Macaca mulatta: one gene and its partner. The protein of the gene in region 1 interacts with the protein of each later gene in a biochemical or structural test. Links are inferred from orthologs where the notes say so. Each region holds a gene or a part of one and is shown in the gene's direction. Other genes may lie near its edges.

Evidence for each region. The genes of interacting proteins can lie anywhere in the genome.
Region 2: the proteins of PLIN3 (region 1) and M6PR form a complex in vitro, tested with the Homo sapiens proteins (2 studies listed by BioGRID). The link is inferred for Macaca mulatta from reciprocal best matches to the Homo sapiens genes PLIN3 and M6PR.

Annotation. Positions count from the first base shown.
Region 1 is NC_133424.1:5,694,733-5,698,377, reverse strand, and holds part of PLIN3 (perilipin-3), read left to right. Parts: intron 1-2,640; exon of another isoform or gene 2,641-2,912; intron 2,913-3,033; coding exon 3,034-3,378; 3' UTR 3,379-3,645. UniProt on the Homo sapiens protein: Structural component of lipid droplets, which is required for the formation and maintenance of lipid storage droplets. Required for the transport of mannose 6-phosphate receptors (MPR) from endosomes to the trans-Golgi network.
Region 2 is NC_133416.1:11,649,620-11,653,806, forward strand, and holds the start of M6PR (cation-dependent mannose-6-phosphate receptor), read left to right. Parts: upstream 1-1,356; 5' UTR 1,357-1,798; coding exon 1,799-1,890; intron 1,891-4,187. UniProt on the Homo sapiens protein: Transport of phosphorylated lysosomal enzymes from the Golgi complex and the cell surface to lysosomes.

The DNA of each region.
Region 1 (3,645 bases):
TTTTTTTTTTTTTGAGATGGAGTCTTCCTTTGTCGTCCAGGCTGGAGTGCAGTGGCACGATCTCGGCTCACTGCAAGCTCTGCCTCCTGGGTTCACACCATTCTGCTGCCTCAGCCTCCCAAGTAGCTGGGACTACAGGCGCCCGCCACCACGCCCGGCGAATTTTTTTGTATTTTTAATAGAGACGGAGTTTCACCATGTTAGCCAGGATGGTCTCAATCTCCTGACCTCATGATCTGCCCACCTTGGCCTCTCAAAGTGCTGGGATTACAGGTGTGAGCCACCGCGCCCAGCCTTTTTTTTTTTTTTTTTAACAGTTTTATTGAGATATCATTTTCATACCATACAACTCATGCATTTAAAGCATACACATCGGCCAGGCTCGGTGGCTCACGCCTGTAATCCCAGCACTTTGGGAGGCCGAGGCAGGTGGATCATGAGGTCAGGAGATCGAGACCATCCTGGCTAACACAGTGAAACCCCGTCTCTACTAAAAATACAAAAAATTAGTCGGGCGTGGTGGCGGGCGCCTGTAGTCCCAGCTACTCGGGAGGCTGAGGCAGGAGAATGACGTGAACCCGGGAGGCGGAGCTTGCAGTGAGCAGAGATCGCGCCACTGCACTCCAGCCTGGGCCACAGAGCGAGACTTCGTCTCAAAAAAAAAAAAAAAGCATACACATCACTGGTAGCATTGCACAACTATCCCTATCTCATCTCATGCCCCTAAAAAGAAACCCTTTTCCCATCAGCAATCACTGCCCCATTTTCTCCTCTTCCCGACCACGTATCCCCTCCTGTCTCTGTGGATGGGCCTGCCCTGGACATTTCATAGAAATGGGATCCCACCCTGTTTGGCCTTTTGTGTCTGGCTTCTCACACTGAGTGTGACGTCCTTGGAGCTCATCCACGCTGTGGCCTGCGTCAGATCCCTGTGACTTTCCGTGGTTGAGTTGCATTCTGTTGTATGGGTGGATCACATTCTCTTCACCCATTCATCAACCGAACGACACTTGAGTTGTTTCCACTTTTATTTATTTATTTTTTTTTTTTTTTGAGACGGAGTCTCGCTCTGCCGCCCAGGCTGGAGTGCAGTGGCCGGATCTCAGCTCACTGCAAGCTCCGCCTCCCGGGTTTACGCCATTCTCCCGCCTCAGCCTCCCGAGTAGCTGGGACTACAGGCGCCGCCACCTCGCCCAGCTAGTTTTTTGTATTTTTAAAGTAGAGACGGGGTTTCACCGTGTCAGCCAGGATGGTCTTGATTCCTGACCTCGTGATCCGCCCGTCTCGGCCTCCCAAAGTGCTGGGATTACAGGCTTGAGCCACCGCGCCCGGCCTGTTTCCACTTTTTGCCTTGCCGCTGTGTGTGGACGTGTGTTTCCGTTTCTCTTGTGTATACACCCACAACTAGAATTGCTGAGTCATGTGATAATTCTATGGTTTAACATTTTGAGAAACCGCTAGACTGTTTTCCACAGTAACTGTATCTTTAGTACAGATGAGGGTTTCACCACGTTGGTCAGGCTGAACTCCTGACCTCGGGTGATCCACCCGCCTCAGCCTCCCAAAGTGCTGGGATTACAGGCATGAGCCACCATGCCAGGGCTCCTTATGATTTTGATTTGCATTTCCTTAATGACTTACAATGTCAAGCAGCTTTTCATGTGCTCTCCCTATATCTTCTAAATTTGACTAGTGGCCGAATGCAATGGCTCATGCCTGTAAATCCACCATTTTGGGAGGCTGAAGTGGGCAGATCACTTGGGCCCAGGGGTTTAAGATCTGGGCAACTTAGTGAGATCCTGGCTCTACAGAAAATTTTAAAAATGTAGCTGGGCATGGTAGTGAGTGCCTGTAGTCCCAGCTACTCAGGAGGCTGAAATGAGAGGATAACTTGAGCTCAGAAATTAGAGGCTGCAGTAGGCTATGATCACACCACTGCATTCCAGCCTGGGCGACAGGGTGAGATCCTGTTTCTTTTTTTTTTTTTTTTTTTGAGATGGAGTCTCGCTCTGTCGCCCAGGCTGGAGTGCAGTGGCCGGATCTCAGCTCACTGCAAGCTCCGCCTCCCGGGTTCACGCCATTCTCCTGCCTCAGCCTCCCGAGTAGCTGGGACTACAGGCGCCCGCCACCTCGCCCGGCTAGTTTTTTTGTATTTTTTAGTAGAGACGGGGTTTCACCGGGTTAGCCAGGATGGTCTCGATCTCCTGACCTCGTGATCCGCCCGTCTCGGCCTCCCAAAGTGCTGGGATTACAGGCTTGAGCCACTGCGCCCGGCCTATCCTGTTTCTAATTAAAAGAAAAGAGGCTGGGCGCGGTGGCCCATGCCTGTAATCTCAGCACTTTGGGAGGCTGAGGAGAGCAGATCACTTGAGGTAAAGAGTTCAAGACCAGCCTGGCCAACATGGTGAAGCCCCATCTATACTAAAAATAAAATTTAGCCGGGCGTGGTGGCATGCATCTGTAGTCCCAGCTACTTGGGAGGCTGAGGCAAGAGAATCGCTTGAACCCAGGAGGCGGAGGTTGCAGTGAGCCAAAATCATGCCACTGTATTCCAGCCTGGGCAACAGAGCAAGGCTCTTATCTCAAAAAAAAAAGAAAAAAAAAAGAGCCGGGCTCGGTGGCTCACGCCTGTAATCCCAGCACTTTGGGAAGCCGAGGCGAGTGGATCACGAGGTCAGGAGATGGAGACCATCCTGGCTAACATGGTGAAACCCCGTCTCTACTAAAATACAAAAAATTAGCCGGCTGTGGTGGCGGGCACCTGTAGTCCCAGCTACTCAGGAGGCTGAGGCAGGAGAATGGTGTGAACCCGGGAGGCGGAGCTTTCAGTGAGCCGAGATCGCGCCACTGCACTCCAGCCTGGGCGACAGGATGAGACTCTGTCTCAAAAAAAAAAAAAAAAAAAAAAAAATTTCACCTATGGAAAGGGTTTTCCCCAAGGTTAGTGGTAGAACCCCTCTTTCCCTGGCTTCAGCTCCGGTTGCCTTTCCTGAAACAAATGGTCCTGATTGGTGTCCCTACCTCCCTTCTCAGCAGGTCGAGTCCCGGGCGCTCACCATGTTCCGGGACATTGCCCAGCAGCTGCAGGCCACCTGTACCTCCCTGGGGTCCAGCATTCAGGGCCTCCCCACCAATGTGAAGGACCAGGTACAGCAGGCCCGCCGCCAGGTGGAGGACCTCCAAGCTACCTTTTCCAGCATCCACTCCTTCCAGGACCTGTCCAGCAGCATCCTGGCCCAGAGCCGAGAGCGCGTCACCAGCGCCCGCGAGGCTCTGGACCACATGGTGGAATACGTGGCCCAGAACACACCTGTCACGTGGCTCGTGGGACCCTTTGCCCCCGGAATCACTGAGAAAGCCCCAGAGGAGAAGAAGTAGGGGGAGAGGACAGGACGCAGCGGGCCCCGTCTATGCTGCAGCTCTGCTCTGGAGTCTTCAACCCAGGGCTCCTTTCAAACCGATTTTCTGGCCACTCCACCAGCTCTTCTGTGCTGTCTGCTTGGGAAGCTAAGGGTCTCAAAACTGAGGCATCACCCAGCTGACCAATCTCTCAGTCCCTCTGAGCTTGGAGGAAGCGTGTTCTGAGCCTCTCCCTATCAGTCAGTAGAGAGAGATGTCCAGAAAAATATTTTTTCAGGAAAGTTC
Region 2 (4,187 bases), on another chromosome or scaffold:
AAAGAAAAAAATATTTCAATTTTATTTATTGGGGCAACATCCAACCCAGATATAATTACTACCTAGCCTGAACTGAATGTGTTACTAACAAACGAAGAAATGCAGAATGGCATACAGTAGGTACAGCGTAGTGCTTGAAAGCATTGATTATGGAGACTATTTAAATACTGGCTCGATAACTTAATAGCTGTGGGACCCACGGTGTTACTTAGCTTCTATCTGCTTTAATTTACTCATCTGTAAACTTGGGATAACATACTTCCTCATAAGGTTGGTGTGAAGACCAAGTGAATTAACTATCGCTTAAAGCACTTACAAAAGTGCCGTGCACCACCGAGATATGCATCCGTTCTCTTTTATTATTATTAGACTCAAAACACTGTAGTAGTTCTAATGAGAGGGGTAAGAATAAAAAATCCAGGCATCTGCGTAGAGCCACACATAAAAGCAACGTAAGAGTGGAAGCGGAATGAAAACATGCTAAAGCCAGCTACAAGCCACAAGCGGGGGTCCACAGGAAGAAATGGTTAATTCTGAAGAGAGTGAATGCAGGAAGTTACAGGAGAAATAACGTTTGAACAGAGTTTAAGAACGAGCAGGACTTCAACAAGTGGCTAGTAAGACACAAGGAACCTGCTAAAGATCTTAGCAAAGGCACAAAGATTACCATCGTGTTGCTCGTTTCTTCCTACTTTGCAGAAGTAACCTCTGGCGAACAGAGGTGGTTGCAGAGCATGCTTATCAAGTAAAATACCACGAGGCAGTAAGCAACGACAGAGGTAACAGTAACAATAATAATTCACCCCAAGGTACTCAACTGGGAAAAGGAAATACATAGGAGTGATGTCGTTAAGAAAGCCAGGACGCACATGGCCCCGTCGCTGCACTACTCTCGTCTAGGAGTCGACAGTGGAGTCTAGATTTGAAGTTTGCACGCGGCGGAACAGCGTCCCTCTCAGGCGGCGAACGGTCTAGGAAAGCGCTCGGAGGAGACCTAGCGTGAGAACTACAACTCCCGCCGAGCCCGAGGGCGAGCTGCCTGCGTAACTTCCGCTTCCGCCACCTGCCCCTCGCACTTTCTTCACTCGGACCCTACCCGGGAGCGGTCCGGCGCGTGACCCCGCGTGACCGGGGCGCGCAAGCCGAGAGGCCCTGGAAGCGGGACTTTGGGACCCCATTGGAAGAAAGGCAACCAGAAAAGGCGAAACTAGACAACCTCGATAGTGATTGGAGCTGATGGAACGAGGGCGGAGCTAAAATCCCAGGGAGACCGGGAAGGGGAAAGGGGCGAAATTGTTCTTTGGTCACATGCTGCGGGGTCTGGTGGGAGGAGCGGTTGCCCAGCGGCCTCTTGGCGCTTCCTGTTTCCGGTTCCCGGAGTGGGGCACATCCAGGCGCTAGGGGGAACGCTGGCCTCTGAAACTAGCTCTGGGACCGGGGTCTGCGGCCGGCCCCTAGCTGGCCCCGTCTCCCATCCCCAGACGGGTATTCACGGGGGATTCTGAGCTTTGGCTGCTCCAGTTCCCCGCGACACGTGAGTGTGAGGGGCGTGGAGGAGGAGGCGGGCTGGGGTGCGCTCACACTTAAGCGTCTATGACAGGAGCCGGGATCGCAATGGCTCCCTTGACCATGGTTCTAGCCAAAGATCTGGCTGAGGAGCCCTAAGAGTAGAATAGAGGCGGAGGCGTGGGGGCGGAGAGTCACGGAGTTCCGAAAGGTGTGAGGGAGAAAGGACTTCCAAAACCAGAGAGGGGATTTACGATACTTGGAAAGCAGGGAAAGGAAGATAACCCCAAGTATGGAGTCCGTTGGAGGTGTTCGTGGATTTATTTGTAGGAGGAATTTTGGCCTGCATCACGGTGGGAGGTCAAGTGGCATCATTTGGAGAAGGTATGGCTCCAAGCACTTGGAAAGTCGGGACACTGGACAGAGCGAGAATTTCTAGCACCCTGGGAGAGGTTTGAGGGGGATGCGACTGTGATATGGATAAGAATGGCTGATGGACGGATTATCATGTGTTCCTCGTGGGGAGCTTCCGCTCTTGGGACAAAGCCGCTACTTCTCTGAGGCTCCTTCTCTCTTGAGTTCTTTAAGCATTAGGCCTTTCAGCCAATTGGGGCTGCTTTTCTAAAACTGTAGGCTGCTGGAGAAAAAGGGATAAGGACTGCTACATCAGAAAGGAGCCAGCGGGAAGACAGTAGAAATTCCACTGGAAAAATGGCCATGGCTGTCTTACCAGATGGGGAAGTGAGTGCTACAGAGGCCCAGTGGTGTAAGCTGCTTCCCAATTGCTGGCTTAGTCATTGGCCACCCTAATAAAGGATAATTTTTAGCATTGCCAAATGGAATAGATGTGTCGTTAGAGAATAAGAAAATTGAAAGAGATTTTTCAAGATCATAAAATCCTGCTCCTTATTTCCAAAGTATATAGACAAACTCTTGTACCTTGAGAATCTAACTGTAGCATATTAAAAGGGGACTACCCAACCCTTCTATTTCGTTCTCTGCCTGATTGTTGCACTCCTATGTTTGTAAGTTTTCCAGCAGTTATCTTTATGCCACGAATCGTCTAAATTGCCCCAGTAACTTCACACACATAAAATATCTGTGTAATGTACAGCAAGTAATTTAATTCTGTAAAGCGTCAGTTTTCTCGTTTTAAAGTATGAAAAATTACACCTATTTTTCTGGGTTGTGAAGATTAATGAACATAATCTAGGTAAAACATTTAGCGCATTATGCCACTGAATCAAAGAGAAGCAGCTTAAATTTAAAGCCAAGCCTTAAGCAGGAAAGAAGAATACAGTATCAATTTATTACCCTAACTTTTTTAATAATAAGCAAATAAAAGATAGTTCAACTCAGCTAATGGCTGAGGTGTTTAACTTTTCATTCCTTCCTAATTTTGTGAGATTCCTTGTTCTAGTTTAGGAAAAGAAATCATCAACTGTCAGTTTTTAATTAGGTCCTGAGAGACTGACTGTAAAGGAAAATGGCAGGCTAAGTTAGTCTAGAAAAAGGAGCCTCCAATTTCTTTTTAGTGAGTCAGCTGGTCAAGTTGTGTGTTGAGCAGTGGGTTAACTTAGGGAAGGTGGTGGGAGTTGGAGGTCTAAGTTCTTTATTTCACCACCTATTCAGTCAACTGTGAGGAATCACTTCCCCTTCACTTCTTAGGAGGAAAAAAAAAGAACCCACAGTTTTGGTTGCCTACTCTCATCTCCAAAAAATTATTATGTGCATAGTGGAAATATACATGTAATGACAGACCATGAACTCTGGAGCCAGACTCTCTGGCTAATTCCACTAGCTGTGTCTCGGTTTTCTTATTGGTAAAATAGCAACAATAATTGTATTTACTCATAAGGTTGTGAGGATTAATTAGTTATTTAATATATGTTAAGTGCTTTGAACAGCACCTGGCCCAAGGCAGTAGTCTATTGTTGCCTGCTGTTGTGTGGTTTCAGTGCATTAAATGTGTTATAAGGGCCTTGGACCTCTTGGCTAGCTATGATTATTCTATGGCAACTACCATAATATTACAGTAGTGAATTGATGTTTGGGGTACAGGAAGTCAGGTAGACAATTTCCCGGAATTTGTTGCTTTAGTGGGATGTGGGAAATAGAAGGTCAGATGTTACTTTGTTTAGGGAAATGGGGAAAGTGCATTCAGGGTCAAGGTTGGAGCTTCCATTTTCCCATCTTCAAACTCATTAGTACCCATGAAAATTCTGCTTGTTTCAAGTTTTATATTTCAAAAATGCGGTGGAGTAAGTGGACCAGCATGAAAAAGAACTAGAGAACTTTAAAGAATATTCATACCAAAGCCCAGATTTGCAGCATTTTATTGTAAGTGAGAAAAGTTTAGAAGAGTTAAATCAGGAAACTGCCTGTGATACTGTTGGAATAAACAAGTAGCGATGGCCTGAGGGATCATTAACAGATATCAGAGTGAAGTGTTTTGCAAGGGTAAATCAGTCTGTACTGGATATGAGGATGGATTAGAGAAAACAAAATGTTAGGTTTTGGTGGGGTTTTTTTTTGCCAAAACCACAGTCACCTTTGCACCAACCTAGTAAGTTTGGGAAAGAGAGCTTGTGTTTTCATTCCTAGAGCAGTACAAGCAGCAGGTGAATTGAATTTACTCTATTGTAAAATGGCTTGGTGATTCCCAATTTGTTGTCATTGAT